Cricetulus griseus: one gene and its partners. The protein of the gene in region 1 interacts with the protein of each later gene in a pairwise test. Links are inferred from orthologs where the notes say so. Each region holds a gene or a part of one and is shown on either strand. Other genes may lie near its edges.

Region 1 (6,887 bases):
CGACTGCTCTTCCAAAGGTCCTGAGTTCAATTCTCAGCAACCACATGGTGGCTCACAACCATCTGTAATGAGATCTGGTGCCCTCTTCTGGTGTGCAGATATATATGGGAGCAGAATGTTGTATACATAATAAATAAAATCTTTAAAAAAGAAAATAGAATGTAATGACATTGTAATTTTTACATTGCTTGAAAGATTTTGCTGGGGTATATAAGATGTAAGGGAAATAAAGTTAGCTAGAAGGAAGAAATCAAGAGAGACAGAAGGGATACATCAGTGTAGAAGAACAAAACAGAAAAAGAGTAGTAGAACAAGCAACAAAAAAAAAATAATAAGAACTAAGCCTTGGCCTGCAGAAAAGTCCTCATGTGTCTGTCTGTCCAGTAGTTCACCTGCTTTGCATTTCCTCTTTAGTTTCTCTGACCTGCTGAAGGCTTGCCATTCATCAGCACACTAGGTGAAGTCCTGACATGCTTGTTGTATGTGTGTGCTTGTGCTTGCGTGCGTGTGTGCATGTTTCCCATTTGAGCCTGCCCCAGAGAACTGTTTTACTCCCTCAGATAGAAAAGTCAAGTTGAGTGATTAGTTCACCAGCTCAGTGGATCTCTCTCAATCCCTGAGCTGCTGAAAGCTGGTCCGCATGGCAGCAATATGTAACAATTTGGGTACTCTGCAGAACTTAACTGTTTCAGATAGATTTAATTTTTTAAATACTTACTTGTCTGAAATTATGTTTTGTTTACTTAAATTTTGTGTTTTAAACATTTTGTGTGTTTGTGGTATATGTATTTCTGTTGCGTGCATGTGTGCACACACACATGGGCCCCAGAGATCACCTTCTGTTATCTTGTTTTTACTCTCCATCTTATTTTTAGGACAGTGAGAGCCAAGAGTTTTCTGTTTAGGCTAGACTAGCTTGCCAGTTAGTCAGTCCCCAGTATCTACTTGTCTAGCTGTCTTCTAGCACTGGGCTATAGACATGAGCCATTTACCCAGCTTTTGCATATGTGCTGGAGATCTGAACTTGGGTCCTTGTGCTTGCTTAGCAAGCTCTTTCTTCACGCAACCATCTCACTCGCCCCAGTTTTTCTCATTATTGTTCTGTCTTTATAGGCTTTATTAAGATTAATAAACTAATTAGAACTATCTTTTGTTTCTTATTTTCCCTTAATTTATAAATTCTTTAGGTAATTTTTACTTTCTCTTTTTCTTTCATCTTATTTAAATATTAAGACATACTAACTTGTACATAAAAACAAATTATATATAAATGGAAAATCATGTATTTCAGGGTTTTTTAAAATTTATTTTTATTGTGTGCATTGGTGTTTTCCGCTGGGTCCCAGAATTATAGACAGTTCCATGTGGGTGCAGGGAGTTGAACCTTGGTCCTCTGGAATAGCAGTCAGTGCTCTTAACCACTGAGCCATCTCTCCAGCCTCTCATATAGTATTTCAATGCATGTATAAGTTGTATATATATTTTTTTACATGTATGGGTGTTAAGCCTGCATGTATATATGTGTATCATATGCCTGCCTGGTGTCCTTAGAGGCCAGATGAGGGTGCCAGATTCTCTGGAACAGGAGTTACAGATGGTTATGAGTGGGTATTGGAAATCAAACACCCATGTCCACTGGAAGAGCATCAGTGTTCTTAACTGCTAAGCCATCTCTTTAGTCCTTAAAAAAAAAAAAAGGATTTTGTGGCATAAACAAGGTTGGCCTGGAACTTGGTCATCTTCCTGAGATAGTCTCCCAGTACTGGGATGACAGGCATGTGCCACCAAGCCTAGCTTGTTTACTTTTTATAAATCACCAGTAAGCCAAGTGGGTGGTGGTGGCACACACCTTTGATCCCAGCACTCAGGAGGCAGAGACATGGGGGGATCTCTGTGAGTTCAAAGCCAGCCCGGTCTACAAAGTGAGTTTCAGCACAGTCAGAGCTACACAGGAAACACTGTCTTGAAAAACCAAAATAAAATAAAATATAAAAATAAAAATTGTATTTAATCCAGTGGTTTTTAATTTCACAGTTGTTTGCGCAGCTTTACTGTTAATTTCAGGACATTTTTATCCTGCATAGGTTTTTGTTTTGATGTATCTGTTCATTCCTAGGGCTAGCTGAACTTTGGGTCTCTGTAATGAACTTAAGATTTTTTGTTTGTTTTTTTACTCTTATCACAGCACCTCTGGAAGCTAATGGTAGAGGAATCAGACTTACTGGGTCAGCTGAAGGTAATAAGTGATATTCTTTTAAATCTTGGGATAACTGTGGAAAACACTCTTGCCTAGACTCATTGTTCTTACTCGGGCAAGGAAATTATATTTGATGCTACAAATCTTCTGAATCCTGAAGATTCAAGTTTACTTTCTTCTGTTGTGATCTAAATGCCATCAAATACATAGAGTCCTCCTGTTTTGAATGGCTGCTCTGTAATCATCTTTAAAATACTAAGCCTGTGTCTTTCAGACTGATAGCATCAGCCCCTATGTATCTAATTCTCTCGGGTAGTAAAGGCCTCAAGGCTCTGATTTACTGAACTGTACATTGAAATTCTGTTCTGATTTACTGAACTGTACATTGAAATTCTTTCCTCAGATCATTAAAGACTTTTACCTTCTGGGACGAGGAGAACTGTTCCAGGCCTTCATTGACACAGCTCAACACATGTTAAAAACACCACCCACTGCAGTAACAGAGCATGGTAATTGTCCTATGGCCCTGAGAATAAACAGCTTGCTCAAGTTGCTGGGTGTTTCTTGGCTGATGTGTTGTACATTGTATGTTTGCCTGCACAGGCCAGAAGAATGAGAACTTGAGTCACAAGTTTATGAGCTGCCATGTGGGTGTGTGGAAGGGAACCTCGGTCCTCTGAAAAAGCAGCCAGTGCTCTTAACTATCAGTGCTCTAGCCATCACACCCTATTTTTATCTTATAAATAATAATGGAAGCCGGGTGGTGGTGGTGCTTGCCTTTAATCCCAGCCTTTGGGAGTTGGAAGCCAGCATGGACTACAGAGCAAGTTCCAGGACAGGCTTCAAAGCTACAGAGAAACCCTGTCTCAAAAAACAAAAAACAAACAAAAATGGAAACCCAGCCTGGGAAAGCCTAGTTATAGCTATAACTCTCTTGTGCTTGGGGTATTACTGGCTGTCAGGACAAGTAAAGCAAAGGTCTTCAGTACTGTTAAGACTTTTTTCCTTACCTTTGATGCCCCCCCCCAACACACACATACACAAAACAGCCTAGCCTGGTTTCTAGCAGCAAATTAAAGAAGTCTAGTGAAGTGCTTAGTTTTATTTGGCCCTCCCCATGTCACATGGCTATCACTGTAACAGTGAAGTGAGGTGTTAGGATATGTCTCGTTCAGCAAAGTGTCTTCCCCTTGGCCAGTTAATGGCTGCCTCCACCCAGACACAAGAAGAGAATGTAGTAAGGATCCAAGCCAAGAAAAAGAAAATGGGAGGGAAATGGAGAGGTTTGTTTTTATAGTTTAATGAGACAATAGATAACTACTGTGCTTTTTTGTTACAGATACCAGAAAAGCCAGTTCAGACTCACTTAAGCAAATAAATAAAAAGGATAGATTTTATTCTCATAATCTCATATGTGATGGTTTTGGGTAAAACCTAATTATCTTTGTCTTCTTAGCAGGCAGGGTAGGCTCTATCCAGTGGTTTTCAACATTCCTAATGATGTGACGCCCAATCATAAAATTATTTTTGTTGCTACTTCATTACTAATTTTGCTACTGTTATGAGTCATGATGTCCATATCTGATATACAGGATATCTTATTTGCAACCTCTGTGAAAGGGTTGTTCAATCCCCAACCACTGCTCTTGCCAGATTTATGTTTCTAAAACTGAAGAACTACATTTTTTCAAAGTCTGAAGAGAGCCTCTGGGTTGGCCTGAATTAGAGCAAGTCTATAAATAAAACAACCAAAAGGTCAGCTGTCATGACCCATTGATCATGCTGCCTTCCCAAGAATTGGGTATTGCCAACCCCGCTGACACTACAGGAATTGTACTGATCAGGGGTGATTCTCTTATTATTGTTAATAAGGACAAGGAGAAATTAATGCTGGACAGACAGAAGTCACATATGTCCTGGCCCTAGCTGAGCCCTACTGTTGCTTTCCTGTGCTCTTTCTGGCAGATGTGAATGTGGCCTTTCAACAGTCCGCACACAAGGTGCTGCTAGATGATGACAACCTTCTCCCTCTGTTGCACTTGACAATTGAGTATCATGGAAAGGACCACAAAGGTTTGTTAGTCTCCTATTGCCTCCTCGCTGCATCTTCTTGTTTTCATAATTTCCCTTCACAGAAACTGTAGTTTGGACCTTAGGGATCACCTAATCTAGTTCTCTAATTTTTTTTTAAGATTTATTAATTTATTATGTATACAGTGTTCTGCCTATATGTAGGTCGGTAGGTCAGAGAGGGCACAGATCTCATTACAGATGGTTGTGAGCCACCATGTGGTTGCTGGGAATTGAACTCAGGACCTCTGGAAGAGCAGCCAGTGCTCTTATCCTCTGAGCCATCTCTCCAGCCCCTAGTTCTCTAATTTTGTACAAGAACACAATTCCAGAAAGGTTCAGGTGCTCTGTCCACAGGTTTTTGAAATCACATCTGTATTTTTGTTTAAGATTCCTCTCAGCAAAGCCCTCACAGGAGGTTCCTCCCCTTTACTTCTGTTGCCTCTCAATGCTGCTGTTTAGCACCACTGGTGTCTCATTTGATGTGTGCAGTTCATCTTGCTCTCTCTGGTTCTAATTAACCAAGTTATTTTTCATTATCTTCTTATCCATAGCAGATGCCACCCAGCCAAGAGAAGGGCCTTCTCGGGAAACGTCCCCCCGGGAAGCCCCTGCTTCCGGGTGGGCTGCTCTAGGTCTCTCCTACAAAGTACAGTGGCCACTGCATATTCTCTTCACCCCAGCTGTCTTGGAAAAGTGAGTAGTTGTGAGTTTCTCCCAGTAAGTATTACCCACCTTACATCCAAAGGAAGCAGTAAGTGAACAGATACGATTGGCGGAAGCAACCTGTCATCCAGCTGGTTTCTATACTGGTTAAGCTAGAGGTTGCAGACTCACCCGTCTGCAGGAGCCTACACAGGGGTTCTAGTTTGTTTTCTGTTGCTATGAAAAAGATTATGATGAAAAGCTATGTGGGAAGAAAGGACTTATTTGGTGTATATATCTAGATAACAGTTCTTCATTGAGGGAAGTCAGTGTAGAAATCCATGCAGGAACAGAGGCAGAAACCACAGAGGAATGCTTCTTACTGGCTTACTCCTGTTTGCTCAGTTTTCTTTCTTACACATCCCAGACCCACCTGTCCAGGTGTGGTGTCACCCACATCAATCATCAGTCAAGAAGAAAATACTCCACAGGTTTGCCCAGGGAAATCCAATGAAGGCAGTTCCTTAACTAAAGCTCCTTCTTCCTAGGTAACTCCAGCTTGTGTCAAGTTGACCAAAAAACAAAAACAAACAAGCAGCTCACATTAATAAGTGAAGTGACAGCCATGAAACAATAGGGAATGGTAAGGACTTGAATGAATGGGAAGGCATATAGCCACTTAGAATCATCAGACTAGGCTGGAGAAAAGACTATGAATAAAGGTGAAGACCAAAGTTCAGATCCCCAATGAAGCGTGTGTCCATGCCTGTAGTCCCAGAATTTCTGCTATGAGATAGGAGGAAGAGACAGGGGAGTATCAGTAAGTACACAAGCAAGCCAGTTTAACATAAACAGAGGCAAGCAGCAAAAATACCCTGTCTCAAACCAAGGTGTAGGGGGATGTCTAATTTGGCATTCACATGATTGCCAGGGCATATGCCCACCTGCATTCACTCACACAAAATGACACCTTTAAGATTTTTTTTTTTTTTGTAATGTGTCTTTGTTTGTGCATATGCATGCTGGTTCCCATGGAGGCCAGAACTGGAGATGGTACAATTGTGAGGCACTCAGTATCAGTGCTAGCAACTAAATCCGGTCTCTAAAAGAGCCACAAGTGCTCTTAACCACTGAGCCATCTCTCGCCCCCAGACTTTGAGACAGGGTTTCTATATGTAACCCTGGCTGTCCTGGAACTCACTTTGTAGACCAGGCTGGCCTCAAATTCAGAGGTCTGCTTGTCTGTTCCCCAAGCACTGAGATTAAAGGTATACACTACCATGACTGGCCCAGATTTCTCTTTTTAACTGACAAGTAATAAGCAATTGTAGGCTTATTATTTGTAGATTAGTTTGTAGTCTCAAATATGAAGTCTCAGGTAACACACTGAGTTCTAGCACTTGCCTATTCCATCAGTCCTTAGAAGTTACCCCTGATTTTTATGATTTGTTGTTGATGATGTTAATTTACTTGGGACCCTTATGTTAGTTAGATTTCTGTTGCTGTGATAAAGACTATGACCAAAGGGATAGGGTTTTATTTCAGGTTGTAGCATATAACATCAGGAAGGAAAGTCAGAGCAGGAATCTGGAGGCACAAACTGAAGCAGAACGCATGGAGGAATGCTGCTTACTGGCTTGCTGCTCATGGCTCATTCAGCTTCCTTTTTATACAACTCAGGACCTCAAAGGGATGGTACCAACCACTGTGGGCTGGGCCCTGTGACGTCAGTCCTTAATTAACAAAGTGCCCCACAGACTGCCTACACATCACTCTAAGAAGACATTTTCTTGTAGGTGGATTTTTCTGTCCTTCCTGCCAGCTCCCACTCTCCACAAGGAGGCTTAATTATAATAGCTCAGCCAATAGCTTAGGCTCATTTCTAACTAGGTCTTATAATGTAAATTAACACATTTCTATTAATTTACTTACTGCCTCATGGCTTTATTACCTTTACTCTGCCCATGTTGCTTTC
Region 2 (7,415 bases), on another chromosome or scaffold:
CCTCCCCCAATTCACATGGGCGCCCTCCCACAGGCTACGGAGAAGGCTTCGACGATGTGATCATTCAAGGGGATCTGGAGGAGCTGAAGTTTGTGGCTTTTTACACCAAGTGAGAGAAATGGGATACAATGGGAAACAGTGGGAGTGCATTGGGAATGGATGCTCAGTAGAAGCAAAGCAGGGTCGGGGGGAGGGGGGCTTGGCTGAGGAGAAGTGAATGCAAAGAGGGGTAGCTGGGCAGGAGGCAGTAACAGTCCTTCCACCGTCAAACAATACTGTGTCTTCTGATTTGAGGTAAGTGTTGAAACCAAGGTAGGTGTCTACAACTAGGAAAGGCATGCTAGTAGAGAAAAGGCGATGCTGAGGCCGGGACCATCCCTTCGCCGTGCCAAGGGCTGGAGCTTCCTAGGCCAACTGACAGTTCTGGGACCATTAGAGGGCTGGGTGCTCAGGACATCCTGTTTTCCTGGACAACAGCTTCCCAGCACCTCAGGTGGACAGAAGGGTGTTGGGATCTCCAAGAAGGACCATTTCTAGTGGTCCTCAGGTTCAGGCTCCTTCTCTCTATAGAGGTGATGAAGTGATTGCTGTGGCCAGCATGAACTACGATCCCATCGTATCCAAGGTGGCTGAAGTGCTGGCCTCAGGTCGAACCATCCGGAAGCGGGAGGTTGAGTGAGTGCCCGTGTGGGAGGTTTGGGGGTGTGTGTGTGTGGGTGTCCTGGGTAGGATTTACTCAAGCTTCCATGGCAGCCTGTTGCACCCACAGTCCTGTAGAGCTTTTCCCCTCACTTTTAGTTCCCATGGCTCCTGGGTAGGATGGGGGGTGAATTAGCGATTTAGAAGCTGACAAATTGTGATTACAGGAGCAGAAGGAAACAGGTGTGTGCCCCCAGAGAGAAGCCAGTGCTGTGGGATGGAGGCAAAGTCCACTACTTGAGTGAACCCAGCCTGGGACTCCTGACCAATGTGATTTGTGCTAGGCCTAGGAGGGGGAAAACAGTGGTGCTCCCAGATATGCCATACACAGGGATGTGGGAGATAGGACATCTGGGAGGCACTGGACACTAGCCATTCTGTATCCCAGCACAGTGCCAATAAGAGTCCCCTGTGTATAGAGAACTTCCAGGAGCTAGGGACAGGGTAGAGGTGCCTGAGGGGCTGAAGGCTATCTGACAGGGGTAACTCCTAGAGTGGAAACAGGCAAGACCCAGAGTAGACCTCATAAATGACATGCTTTCTTTGGCCTTCTGTTTTTCCCTCTTGCCTTCGCAAAGGCTGTTTATGCTACACAGCAAGTACGTGTGTTCTGTTGACTGTTCTAAGCCTTTTCTTCCCCCAGCCCAATTATCAAATCCTCCTACCCTGCCCAAGTCCACTCCCCTGCTGAGCACCAGGCTTTGACACATAGCAGTCCCCGCTACTGTTTTCATGTTTGTTCATGGCCTGGAGTCGAGAACCTACCCTCTTCTGCCCTGACCCATCACTATTTCGTCCCTGCAGAACCGGTGACATGTCTTGGCTCACAGGGAGAGGATCCTGAGCTCTCATGTGGTGGATTTGGGCAGGCCTCTGGGCACCAAGGTCAGAGACCAAGTCCTGGGGGCCAGTGCCAATCTCCTATTTCCCAGGATACCCCAGGGTGGAATCTGAGTCCTCTCAAGGCTTGCCTTCAACTGTCTGCCTCCCCTCCAAAGAGGCTCCTGCTGTCTCCAGAAGATGGTCCCTCCCAAGGCTCAGCTGTTGTTGACAGCTGGTTTTAGAGGCAGGACAGGCTCTGCCTGTTTCCTCTCTTAGGACTGTCTTCCCAGCAAGAGCCTGTAACATTACCTTAAAATTAAAACACATGTATCTACAGATGTGTGTCCCATTGTAATTGGGCCAGCACTCGAGGGAGAGCCAGGTATGGTGTGACACACCTGCAATAGCAGAGTTTGAGTCCATCCTGAGCTACATGAGATCTTGTTTTTAAAAAGCTTCAGAAGCCAGAGGCAGCTTTTGTATTTGCCCACTTAAGAAAGATAGGAACTGGGTCCTGAGCCAGTTTCCATGCTTCTCACAGCCATCTGAGCTGCTTTGTTACTGTCATTAAATCACCTCATCGTTATATACTCAGAAATAAAAATACTCAGCTGGATTACAGTAGCCACTCAAAAACTTAGCCAGTCCAATTCTATATATCTCGATGATCTTTTGTACAGCTAGGATAGCCATTATGAAGCCACTAGTGACTTCACTTTTACTATTTTATGTTTACAAGCACTTACCACAAAAAAATACAACAAAGTTGAAACTAGAAAACCAATTAGCTTTACGATTTCATTTTCATGACTTCATGTGTCCCTTTTGCCTGAACTTTGTGAATCCTTATTTCACAGGCGAAGAACTAATTCAACTGGCCTCAAACTACAATGTAAAAAATACGGTTTGTGGTGTAGCCTAAGCGCAATGCTTGCCCATCATGTCTAGGGTTCAAAGCACACTGCAGAAACAAATGAAGATCCTGCTCATGAACAGGAACGGAGAACCCAGAGGTTCTCCGCTATCAAAAGTTCCAGACAATAAGCGCCAAAGGGAGAGGGGAGCACTGAAGACCAGGTTTAGGGGTACAAACAGAAGGTGGACGGTTGAGCCGCCTACAAGCCGGAAACCTCACTCTGGAGTTCCGGGGGTGGTGGCTTCCGGGCGATGACAAAGACCGACTATAAGGCTTGGTCTGATCAGACGGCGTTCCCCGAAAGTGGAAACCTGAGCCGATTCTCGGCCAGAAAAGCTTTCAGAATGGGAAGCACTGCGTGATAATGTGAGGAATCCCGCTGACAGACCCTTGACAGCCCGCCGTGTGGCGGAGAACGCAAGGCTTGTTGGGAAGGCGGACCTAGCGTGCAAGCTGGCCGGACGTGCTACGCCGTAGGCGCAGGGCTCTTCGGGAAATGTGGTCCCTTGGCTCGGCCCGGGCGGTGGCCGTGAGCCCTGCAACCCGGGCGGCCCATCCAGCCTGAACCAAGGATGGCTGGGCCTGGAGGCTCGGGGGCCCAGATCGGGCCCGGGGCCCTGGCAGGAGGTTTGCGCTCCAAGGTGGCTCCGAGTGTGGACTTTGACCACAGCTGCTCAGACAGTGTCGAGTACCTGACGCTCAACTTTGGACCCTTCGAAACAGTGCATCGCTGGCGGCGCCTCCCGCCCTGCGACGAATTTGTAGGAGCCCGGTACGACAGTGTACAAGAGATCCTGAAGGCAATGGGAGTGGCGACGAGAGCCGAGGAGGTCCCAGGATGGGTTCTAAGGGGCAACACCCCGTGTGATGTCCTGGAGGTAGTCGATTTCCAGGGAGTCGCACAGTAGTGACCCTAAGCAGGGTACCAGACGGTCCAGTTTGGGTAGGGAGTCTGAAGAGTCCTCGGTGTGTCAGGCGTCCTTCCTATCTAATGGAATTGAAGATCTCTGTAGATCTTGGCAGTGGAGAGGCTTTACCCAAACTTATGTGGCAGCCACCATGGTGGCAGCCTGGAGAGTCCCAGTCTCACTGCCCCTTCACCTCTTCTTTCTTTCTAGGCGCAGCAAGCACACAGTCGTGGCATATAAAGATGCCATCTATGTGTTTGGCGGAGACAACGGGTGAGTTTACCTGTTAATGGGAGTGGTGGCAGTGGACGATGACAGTGAGACAGACTATTGCCTAAGAAGGGAGTCATGAGCTATGCCCTGTGAACCTCTGTTTCCCTGTCTATAAGGTGCCTTGTACCTGGTTCCCAGGTTATGGTGAGAAGATCCTGCCTGGAAAGCCTTCTCACCCCAGCATTCAAATGGCAGTACATGGAAATATACTGTTTTGAATGAGTAGACACAGCCCTGTGTGGCACTTTTCTTCTTTCTCAACACTTCCCTCTAGGCTTTGCCCACTTGCTTGCTTTGTAACCAAAAGTATGGAGAACATGTTTTGTTGTTGTTTTTACATCTGTTTATGTGTGTGTTGGGGGTGCATGCAGGAGTCATCTTTCTCCTACCATTCGGGTACCAGGGATTGAACCCAGGTTGCAAGACTTGGTGGCAAGTGTCTTCACTTGCTGAGCCATCTCACTGCCTCCAAAATAAATTTTATTGATTCTGTGTATATCTTGCTTCTGGTGGAGATTTCCCTGTGTTGCTTTAACCTCCTGGAAAATACTCTTCCTGGAAATGACTTGCAGTTCTGGTGAGCACTTTTCTCCACACACAGACTTGTTAAGTTAAGCTAAGGTTATGTTTGCAAATGACTCCCTCTTCTCGGACCCAGAACCAAGGGGACTACAGCCTTGGTCCTGTAGTCTACCTGTGGTAGCTGATCTAGAGCAGGTGAGGTTTTCAGGATTCTATTAGAACATGCAAACTTGGCCATGGTCTTCTGGCATCATCTCATCTCCATAGTTCTTTCTCAAGAGCAGCTGGGGATCCATTTACAACTGCAAGTCAAGAGTATGTTCCTCCTCAGCCCATAGCCCCGTAACATCCTGGCACCTCTTTGTGTAGAGCTCAGTCCTTACAGGAGTGTATGAGGTCTACTGTACAATGGTGTTTTCCTGATTCTCAGCCAGCCCTTTGCATTTGTTGTTTCTTCCCTGACACACTCTTGTGGCTTCCTTTCTAATGTTCCTTATGGATGAGGCCTTTGTGCCCTCTCTTACCAGCTCCATTTGCTCTACCCCCCAATTAGGCAAGTGTTGACACTGATTCACTTACCCAAGGCATTTTTCTTCTCACTTCTCTGTACCAGTGCCCAGATGTCATAGTCCGTGTTTAGTGAGTTAGAGGATGAGCCTTAGTAAGAATTCCCCACACTACAAAAGACCACTGTCCAGCATAGGGTGGTGGGTGGGAACTTAGGATCCCTGTCCTTAGCATTTTCTGGAGCAGGTAGACAACTGTGTGGTGAAAAGCAGAAGTGTTTTTGGTATGCAGTTTCAAAAGAAAGTTTAATTATGCATCTGCTTGCCTGTGACTTAAGATAAACCAGGGAAGCCTCCATTCAACAGAGTGGGAAGAAGGGTTCTTGCTAGGCAGTAGCAACTTTGCATATTGGAAAGCAGGAGGAGCAAGGAAACCCGGGGTTGAGGTGGGGCCAGGTCAGTTCGGGTAGAGTTCTTCAGGGCCGCCACAGGGATTTCCTCATGAAGATCCAGGTAGACTGCACTCTCTGGTTTTGGGGAAAAATTTTTAGGTTTTGGGGCCATCTGATCCTTGATGCTTGAGTTGATGAGGCGTTTGTCTTTGGGGGCCTAGTATAGGTACTTAGTTCAAAACAGTAGCCTCCCATTATTTTAACAAATGCCCCTACATTTAAGTAGGGGATTAAATGAGGGAAAGCATGATCCCAGCCTCTAAGCTTTGCCTTCCTGGCTGTTTGGCTATGCTTCCTCTCCCATAAAATGAAGTCAGGGAGGGTATCCACCGTCACAGACTGAGCAAGGCAGAGATGCCCTGCGAAGGCCTGGCCTGAAGGGGGTGCTTGAGGTCTTGTTGGTTCACTGCTCTTTTTCCACATTAACAAGAGTTGATAACATGCCAGTAATGTAAGCAGGACAGTGGAAATCCAGTGGACAATGGATTTCTCTTTAATGCAGTTGTTATGTCAGGTGACAGGGAGATGGGAAAGCATGCAGGTCTCCACTGATGTTTGAGCCAGCATTTCATTGTAGTGCAGCCTTGGGAGGGTTAAATGTAGGAGTAGGAATTCTGGAGACTGGGGTGAGGTGTGAGTGATGACTCCAGCCTCTGGGCTGGTTCATGCTCTCATATCAGCCTTGAGTGGGCTGCTGGTGGTGGGGATCAGGCTGGCTCTGTCAGTGTGGGAGCCCTAGTTGACCATATCACTAGTCACTAGTTCTGTCCTTTGGACATTGATGGGTTGTCTGACTCTGGACAAGTCCAGAGACCTGTGAGCCAAGCCCTTCCTGCTGTCTCCTACCCTTAGGTACATGCCCTTGCCCATCTCTACGATCCTGGTGAGGTAACACCTCCACAAAGTAGCCTGGCTACTGTCACCCTCTCTCTTTCTGCTTTTCAGAAAGACGATGCTCAACGACCTCCTGCGATTTGATGTGAAGGACTGCTCCTGGTGCAGGTGGGTGGCCCCTGGGCTCCAGGATCCTGCCCGTCCTGGAAAGCAGCAGCACAGTGCTGGGTCCACTGGTTGTTAGGGTCAGCTCATCGTGGAGGGCCAGAGAGAAATGTAACAGAGGACAGCCTTTGATGGCTTCCCTCCTTCTCGCAGTTTTCTGTGAGAATCATCCTAAATCCTGTGAACAAAGGGGTCTGCCTGATCTACTTGGTGGTATTTAGACTCTGACCTGGGAGGGACCTTCAATCATCAGAATTTCTCCTAGGCCAGCAGTTGCTGTCTGATCTCAGACAGGGCATGGGCAGGTCTCAGCTAGTTTTCCCAGAGTGCCACCTCCAGGCTGGCAGCAGGGCCTCCTGTCCCACCATTGTCTCATAGGACTAGTTGCCTGCCAGTAGACCCCACATAGGCATTAAGCAGCATGCAAACCCTGCGAACCATTCTCAGCTGTGTGGCCTTGTACAAGGGCTACCTGCTCTCTGGGTGCCACATATTGTGTTTCCTGCAGCAGTCCCTGTCTGGGAGCAGCTTAGAGTGGAGGGTGGGGGTTGACTGGACTTGCTAGCTCCATCATCTGCTCACACAGGAGCACAGTGCTACACAGCACCTCGTGGTGGTCTGGAGGACATCCCCTTGGTCCCCAGCGGCCTTCTGGGTTGGGGTCTGTTTTGAAAGAGGAGGATGCAGGGCTCTGGAGATTTTTGTGACTGCCCTGGACACTCAGCCAGGCAGGGCAGCTTCATTTGGCATCATGCACTGCCTTGGGGTTTCTATTGCTGTGCTGGAACACCGTGGCCAAAAGCAACTCCAGGAGGAAAGAGTTTATCTCAGCTTACATGGCCATGTCACAGTCCACACTCAAAGAAGTCAGGGCAGGAACTCAAGGCAGATAACTGGAGGCAGCAGCTGAAGCAGAGGCCATGGAGGGTGCTGCTTACTGGCTTGCTTCTCATGGCTTACTCAGCCTGCCTTCTTATACCACCCAGGACCACCAGCCCAGGCGTGGGACCACCTACAATGAGCTGGGGCCTTCCACATCAATCACTAATTAAGAAAATGCCACATCGGCTTGCCTACTGCCTGATATTATGGAGACATCTTCTCAGTTGTGTTTCCCTATTTTTCCCAAGTTGTAGATAATCTACAACTTGACACAAGTTGACAAAAACAAACAAGCAAAAACAACAAAACCTCACAATCAACTAGGACCCCACCCACTGCCTGGTAACACTGACATAGCAACAGAAATTGTTTTTCTCACACTTGATCTTTTGTTTGTTTGTTTTATTTTTTGAGACAGGGTTTCTCTGTGTAGGTT
Region 3 (7,518 bases), on another chromosome or scaffold:
CCAGTCAGCAGCTGTGGAGCCCAGTCCCTCTGCGATTCAGCCTCTGGTTCTGCCCCTGTTATGCGACCTTGTGCAAATGACTCGGTTTCTCTGAAACTGTTTCCTCGGTGTCCGATCACTGGCATTTTTTTTGTTGCTTTCAGATAGTTGTACATTTTGTGATGGAATGACATCACGGGCTTCTTTGCAACTTTGCTGTATTCTCAGATGACTTCTTTTACAGCCATAGGAATGACAACAGAGCACCAGCTGTAGGCCCCAGGCTCTGCTCTACCGGACAGGAGCCTTGTGTCCCTCCCCACAGCAGTGCAAACAAGGCACAGAGAGGTTGGGTGTCCTGCCTAGGGTTCCTCAGCCAGGAGGTGGTGTTGCTACTATGCGCAGCAGAGCCCTGCTCCATGATCTGTGTTCTAGATACTGATTGCACGACCTCCTCCATAGGAGCCCTGTGCCTATTCTGCTTTCTTTCATTCTCTGTTTTCATTAAAAAATTTAAAATTAGCCGGGTGTTGGTGGCGCATACCTTTAGTCCCAGCACTCAGGAAGCAGAGGCAGGTGGATCTCTGTGAGTTCGAGGCCAGCCTGGTCTACAGAACGAGTGCCAGGATAGGCTCCAAAGCTACACAGAGAAATCCTGTCTTGAAAAACAAACAAAAAATTAAAATTACATTTATTTATTCTGTGTGTGTGTGTGTTTGTACACATGCATGCCACAGCATATATGTGGAGGTCAGAATTCAATTTTTTTGGTATCAGTTCTCTCCTTCCACTATGTTGGTCCTGGGAACTGAACTCAGGCCGTCAGTTTGGTGACAAGTGTTCTTACCTGGCAAACCATCTCAACAGCCCTATTTTTCTTTTTGTTTGTTTGCTTTGTTTTGAGACAGTCTTGAATTCATGGCAATCCTCCTGCCTCAGTCCCTGGAGTGCTGAAATTACAGGCATGCCAGCATTTGGCTTGTACTATTACTTAATATTTTTCTTTTAAAAAAGATTTAGAAAATAAAATCTGTGAGTTTGAGACCAGCTTGATCTACAAGAGCTAGTTCCAGGACAGCCTCCAAAGCCACAGAGAAACCCTGTCTCGAAAAACCAAAAAAAAAAAAAAAAAAAAAAAAGATTTAGTTCAGCACAGTAGTACACACCTTGAAATCCAGCACTCAGAGGCAGAGGCAGGAGGATCTCTGTGAGTTCAAGGCCAGCTTGGTCTACATAGTGAGTTCCAAGCCATGCAGGGCTACATAGTGAGACCCTGTCTCAAAAAACAAAACAAGCAAAAAAAAAAAAAAAGAGGAATTATTATTATTTTGGATTTTTGAAATGGTTTCGCTATGTAGCTCTGGCTGTAGACCAGGCTGGCCTCAAACTCACAGAGACCTGCCTTCCTCTGCCTCCTGAGGATTAAAGGTGTGAGCCACCACTGCCTGGCTATGACTTATTATTTTTAATTGTGTGCATGGTGTGTGGGGTTATGTGAAAGTGAATGCAGACACCCATGGAGGCGTCAGACATGCTGGAGTTACAGGCTGTTGTGAGCCGCCTGATGTATGTGTTGGGAACTGAACTTGAGTCTTCAGGGTATCAAGTGCTCTTAACAACTTAGCCAGAGTGGCCCCCCTCCCCCCTCCCGTGTGTGTGTGTGTGTGTGTGTGTGTGTGTGTGTGTGTGTGTGTGTGTGTGTGTGTGTGTGTGTGTGTGTGTGTGTACATTCCCATGCATGGGTGTGCAGCTATAATCCTAGCACTTGGATGGTGGAGGCCAGAAGATAAGATGTCCAGTGTCATCTTCGTTTACATAGCAAGTTTAAGGCTAGCCTGGACTACCCAAGATCCCATTGCAAGAAAAACTAAAGAGACTCCATTCTTAGGGGCTTGTGGTAGAGAGCTTAGCTGACATGTGCAAAGTCCTAGGCTCGATCTCCAGTGCTGGCCATGAGAGCCTTGAGAATATGTTATTGGTATACCACAGGCATGTAATAAGTGCAGATTCTTGTCTACAACTGAGGTATTCCTCTCACCAGGAAGCCTTCTCCATATCTGACACTATAGCCATTGCAAGAGCTTCTACTCTCTGTCCTTTTTGGGTCCTTAGTGCCTTCTGCAAGAATGGGTACTTGATAGTGATGGGGGAGGGGTTAATGTGAGGGCAGAGTTGAGTTGGGCAGGGTCCTAGCTGCAGATCATGGCTAAGCAGCTCCATTTGACCCCAGGTAGCCTGGGGTTAATCATCAATCATGAGAGGGCAAGAGGTCACACTTCCCCAAGGGACACCTATGTTGCCTGGTCCTTCCTGAATCTTGCCTCTCATTTTGTATTTAGGGAAACTGATGCTCAAGATGGATGAGGCCCTGGGTCTCAACGTTGTTCAGTGAGATGGGGACAGAGGGAACACAAGAGTCTGACTCTTCTTCGTGGGTGCTGGAGAGCCCACCTTGGGTCTTCATACTTGCATGGGGGAGCATTTACCCAGAGTCGTCTCTTCAGAGCCTTCACTCTGGACTCTTCTAAGTTCTTCTGTGACCCTAGAACTCAGCGTGGTTTTCAACCCCCACCCCCACTCCACACCTGCCTGGGCTCCCAACATCCCACAGCACCGGCTTCCTGAGCATTGGGACAGAGCAGGGGACATGCTATCTTGTTTGAGGTTAAAGGTCTCAGGTCTTGGCAGGTGGTAGGTGTCTGGTAAATATTTATTTATTGAATGCATGAAGGAATGAACAGCCATTGCTGTGAACAGCAAATAACAGCCAGGCTTCTTCTGCTGGCTGTGAAACAGCAGAGATGGGAATGTGACTGACGTGAGAGTCACCCTTCCAGTCTAGACAGGATGTCAGGATGGCTGCCAGCTCCCCTTGTCTTCTTTCTGTCTTCCTTTTATTTTATTATTTTTTATTTTTAAGACAAAGTCTCTCTGTGTAGCCCCGAGTGTCCTGGAACTTGGTCTATAGACCAGGCTGACCTTGAACTTACAGAGATCCTCCTGCCTCTGCCTCCTGGCATTAAAGGCATGCACCCAATATGCCTGCCCTGCATCTTTGTTTTCTTGTCTCAAACCTAAGCTGACCCCAAGTGTGGTCCTGGGAAAGTGGCCTGACCTAAAGACAGCTCTGCATATGTCAGATCTAGGGTGGCTGTGTTATGAAAGTAGTCCAAGGTGAGAGGTTCCTTCTACGTCTTGCTGGCCAGCCCCTGTGGATGGATGCTTCCCTTTCTGAGCCTCCATTTCCTCATCTGTGAGATGAGCCCAGGTCATTCATGAGCCGTGAGCTGCATGAAGAAGGAGGGGAGGATTGAATAGCCCCATTAGTCATTTTTGTTGTGAGTCTTCACCAGGACCCCAGAATCAGTAACTGTCCCTTTAACAGGGAGGAGGGGCCAGGCCCTGGTGGCGGAAGTTGATCTAGTGGCCTGTGAGTCCAGGTTGGTCCTGGCTGGGCTGTAGGCTGTGCTGGTCTGGGGAACTGTCCTTTGGGAAGGTAAGGGTGGCATTGTGGGAGTGGCTGCGGGCTGTGGGAGTGAGGGTGGCTATTACCCCAGTAGCATCTGTCCTGTCATGTCCAGGAGGCGGGCCCTGGGGACCCTGAGGATGGAAATCAGGTTGTGCAGGCAGAAGGGGCAGTCAGCCTGGCTTTCTAGCCTTTCTCCTAACTCAGCTGCTGTATGCTACCCAAATGGCCCCTGGGGATAGCACCCCAGAACTGTAGGGCTGGAATGAGGGCTAGAGAAAGTGAACAGCGCTTATAAGTGAGTTCCAGTAAGGAAGTCACAGGGCTCTCTCTCCACTGCCTCACCCAGGCCGCCCAGCAGCTGCCACAGTGAGGAGTGGACCAAGGGGTCCCTAGACCTTGGCTCAGATGGGTCCCCACCCTGATGGCAATGAGGCTGCCGTCACCAAAAGGGACATAGAGGCCTTCGGACAGAGTTTCAGCTCTCTTTTGTGCTTGTGTTTGATTTTTTCAAGTCAGGTCTCTCTATGTAACCTTGACTGTTCTGGAACTTATTCTATAGACCAGGCTGGCCTCAAACTCACAGACATCCACTTGCCTCTGCCTCCCAAGTTCTGGGATTAAAGGTGTGTGCCACTGTTACTTGTCGAGGTTCAGCTCTTAAGGATAATTATCAATGAAGTAACAAAGGGTCTCATTTTTAATAAATGATGATGATGGTGGTGAGAAGGAGGATACCAAAAGCCCAGTAGTTAAGATGCCACACAGTGTGGAAGCACACACCTGGGTTTGTACTCCGAGCCACATTTCCTGACCTGTGGCCTTGTGTACCAACCACTCTGGGTCCCTAGTTATGAAATGGGGTTAAATACAGGACTCTGTCAGGGTTTCTCAGTGCATTCTGAGATAATAAGGAAGGTGCTGGGCATGGTGCCCAGTTCCCAGCAAGCCTCACACAACAAGTTAGCTCTTATCAAACCACACTGGGTACAGCTGGCACCTTCACTTCACAGTTGAACTTAATCCTTACAAGGACCCCATGGTGTACAGCACTGCATCCAGTGTGCAACATGGTTCATGCTTAGCTCACTTGCATCTTTCTAGTCCAAGGTTCCATGCCCAGAGGAGACCATTTTGCTCATCTTTAATATTCAGTTTCCTATTATTTTGTTGGTTTATAGTAGATCTCCTCATCAAACTACAAGCTGGCTCTGAAGTAGGCATCTCTCTTCCCCACTGTATCATCCTCGTGTCCCAAGCCCCAGCCTGGACCTTGACAGTACTTTCTAGACATGCAAGATAGGGTGTACATGGCAGCATTGGTAGAAGGTCCCATTGAAGGGATCTGCCTAGAGTATTCAGCCTGGAGCATGGCAGTGTGTCCCAGAGGCTCATCCACACCACAGCCTGGGAGTTGGAGTGTGTGTTTGTTCCCATTTTACAGAAAAAGAAATAGACCCAGGCTGGTTGAGACACTTACTTGAGTCACACAGCTGTTTTTTGACTTTGATCTCTGGTTAGCCCCCAAACCTGTGATCTGGGGTTGCAAGACTGAGTGTGTGGGTCAAGCCAGGCTATGAGGGATGTCTTAGGATTACTATTGCTGTGAGACCAACGGTTCTAAGGAGAAGAAAGGGTTTAATAGGCTTACACTTATATTGTTATTTGTCATCAAAGGAAGTCAGGACAGGAACTCAATCAGGGCAGGAACCTGGAGGCAGGAGCTGAAGCAGAGACCAGGGAAGGGTGCTGCTCACTGGCTCACTCACCATGGCTTGCTCAGCCTGCTTTCTTATAGAACCCAGGACCACCTTCCTAGGGATGGCCCCACCCACTGTGGCCCCACCCTCCCCCCATCAATCATCAATCAAGAAAATTCATGAACAGCTTTCCCACAGGCCGGTCTGATAGGGTCATTTTATCAGTTGAGGTTCCCTCTTCCAAAATGACTCCAGCTTGTGTCAAGTTGACCTAAAAACTAGCCAGCACAGGGAGTCTGGGGACCAGGTACAGCTCATAGGCCCCCCTTCCCTGTGAGAAGTGCCGAAAGAGATGAAGGGGTCTGCTCTGTCTTTGCCTTGTCTGGGGAGGTCCAGGGCCATCCTGATAAAGGGTCAGATTCATGGGCCAGTTCCCTATTTGAGTCCCTTGAGTAAGAGAGGGTAAGAGGTTCAGGCTTGGGGCGTGGGGGGACTGGAAGGGGCTGGAGGGGCCTCCTGGTGGCCGACCTTGGGACTGCAAAGGGCCTCACCAAAATGAGGATAGTTTTTATTTCTGTTTTTGTCCCTTTTCTTTGGTGGTTTGAAACAAGGCCTTCTCAATACATAGCTGATAATATGTCCTTGAACTCACTTTGTAGCCCAGACTGGCCTTGAACTCATGTTGTAGCCCAGGCTGGCCCTGAACTCTCAATCCTCCTGCCTCGGTTTCCTGAGTTTGAGTGCAGGGATTACAGGTGTGAGCAACCCAGCTTATTCCTTTCTCCAACATTCCTTCCCTCATTTCTTATTTTTTTAAATTTATTTATAGACAAGGTCTCTTTTTGTATTCCTGTCTGGCCTATAACTCCCTTTGTAGACCAGGCTGGCCTGGAATTCATAGCTCTTCCTGCCTCTGCCTCCCGAGTGATGGGATCAAAGGCTTGTGCTACCACATCTGTCATCCTCCCCCCCCCTTTAAAAATTGTATTTATTATCAGTGTGAGTGCATGAGTGTGGATGTGTGTATAAGGGTGAGTGTATGAGTGTGTGAGAGTGTGTATGTGTGAGTGTGAGTGTGTGAGTGTGTGTGTGTGTGTGTGTGACGACGACACTGTGAACTAGATTCTCTCTTTCCACCCTAAGTGGTTCCGGGGTATCAAACCCAGGCCATCAGACTTATGAGACAAGTAGCATTTGCTGAGCCATCTTGCCAGACACCTTTGAAATCTTTTAAAATTTATTTTTAGGTGTACATGTGTTTGTCTGCAAATATGCCTGCACACTGTGTGCAAGCTGTGCCCAAGATGGCCACAAGAGGGCATCAGACTCCCTAGATTGGGAGATACATCCGGTTTGTGAGCCACCATATGGGTCCTGGGAACTGAACCTGGGTCCTTTGCAAGAGCATCATGTGCTCTTAACTGCTGAGCCATCTCTCCAGCCCGTCCCCCTCTTTTTTTTTTTTTATTTTTTGTTTGTTTGTTTGTTTTGAGACAGATCTTGTGTGGCCCTGACTGGCTTCAAATTTGTTATGTAGTGACATAAAATCATCACCAAATGTAGATCATTGTAAAGCTACATATGTACATCAAAAACAAAAGCTTTCTGGCCAGTGTGACATCATAATTATAATCCCAACACTAAGGAGGTGGAGGCAGGAGGATGGTGGGTTCCAGGCCAGCCTGGGTCACACATGGAGATCCCATCTCTCAACAGCAACTACAACAAAAGCATCTTTGCTTTTAGAGATACAGGCCATGGCTGTATAACTAGGAACGGATGACAGGGAAGAGGGCATAAAACTGCCAACGGCAAAGGTAAGTGACTAGGGAAGTGCCCTGCCTCCCTCGCACGTGCTTAACCAGCATTTTTTTTATGGAAAAATGATGAATGAATGACTGAATGATTTTTTTATTACTTTTCGGTCACATTCTGTGTCTCCAGCACTATGGACAGCCACAGACACTAAGTGAAGGGTACCCAGGACAATCTGCCTTGTTCAGATGGGAAACCAAGGTCCAGAGAGGGGCAGACACTTGCCTGAAACTTGAAGCTTGGAAGCTGGATTGGATTTGGGGTGGCCAGGCTCAGAGGCCTTGATCTCCCTTCCCCTGTCATAGTTAAGGAATCTGAACCATGCATGTCCCCTTGCAGGTCATCTGTGCCACAGGAATGGAGGGAGCCTTGGTGGAGCGTGTCAGGGCAGAGCCTTTCCACAGGGTCACGCCCTTATTGGAGAGCTGGGCACTGTCTCGGGTGGCAGGCATGCCCGTCTTCCTCAAATATGAGAATGTACAGCCGGCTGGATCCTTTAAGATCCGGGGCATCGGACATTTCTGTCAGCAGGTAAAGGAGGGTGAGCACAGCGCTGGG

The links.
Region 2: the proteins of Tubgcp4 (region 1) and Lztr1 interact in binary tests that used the Homo sapiens proteins (3 or more experiments, as listed by UniProt). The link is inferred for Cricetulus griseus from reciprocal best matches to the Homo sapiens genes TUBGCP4 and LZTR1.
Region 3: the proteins of Tubgcp4 (region 1) and Sdsl interact in a two-hybrid assay, tested with the Homo sapiens proteins (2 studies listed by BioGRID and IntAct). The two-hybrid records come from large-scale screens. The link is inferred for Cricetulus griseus from reciprocal best matches to the Homo sapiens genes TUBGCP4 and SDSL.

Annotation. Positions count from the first base shown.
Region 1 is NC_048599.1:57,232,256-57,239,142, reverse strand, and holds part of Tubgcp4 (gamma-tubulin complex component 4), read left to right. Parts: intron 1-2,185; coding exon 2,186-2,236; intron 2,237-2,600; coding exon 2,601-2,706; intron 2,707-4,162; coding exon 4,163-4,270; intron 4,271-4,821; coding exon 4,822-4,963; intron 4,964-6,887. UniProt on the Homo sapiens protein: Component of the gamma-tubulin ring complex (gTuRC) which mediates microtubule nucleation.
Region 2 is NC_048597.1:71,803,590-71,811,004, reverse strand, and holds the start of Lztr1 (leucine-zipper-like transcriptional regulator 1), read left to right. Parts: upstream 1-2,678; 5' UTR 2,679-3,009; coding exon 3,010-3,209; intron 3,210-3,555; coding exon 3,556-3,618; intron 3,619-6,043; coding exon 6,044-6,100; intron 6,101-7,415. Other genes in the region: Aifm3 (apoptosis-inducing factor 3), read left to right, coding at 34-109, 571-675, 1,504-1,543. UniProt on the Homo sapiens protein: Substrate-specific adapter of a BCR (BTB-CUL3-RBX1) E3 ubiquitin-protein ligase complex that mediates ubiquitination of Ras (K-Ras/KRAS, N-Ras/NRAS and H-Ras/HRAS).
Region 3 is NC_048597.1:100,276,786-100,284,303, reverse strand, and holds the start of Sdsl (serine dehydratase-like), read left to right. Parts: upstream 1-3,355; 5' UTR 3,356-3,475; intron 3,476-6,861; exon of another isoform or gene 6,862-6,962; intron 6,963-7,089; exon of another isoform or gene 7,090-7,161; intron 7,162-7,299; 5' UTR 7,300-7,317; coding exon 7,318-7,491; intron 7,492-7,518. UniProt on the Homo sapiens protein: Catalyzes the pyridoxal-phosphate-dependent dehydrative deamination of L-threonine and L-serine to ammonia and alpha-ketobutyrate and pyruvate, respectively. Also exhibits racemase activity towards L-glutamate and D-glutamate.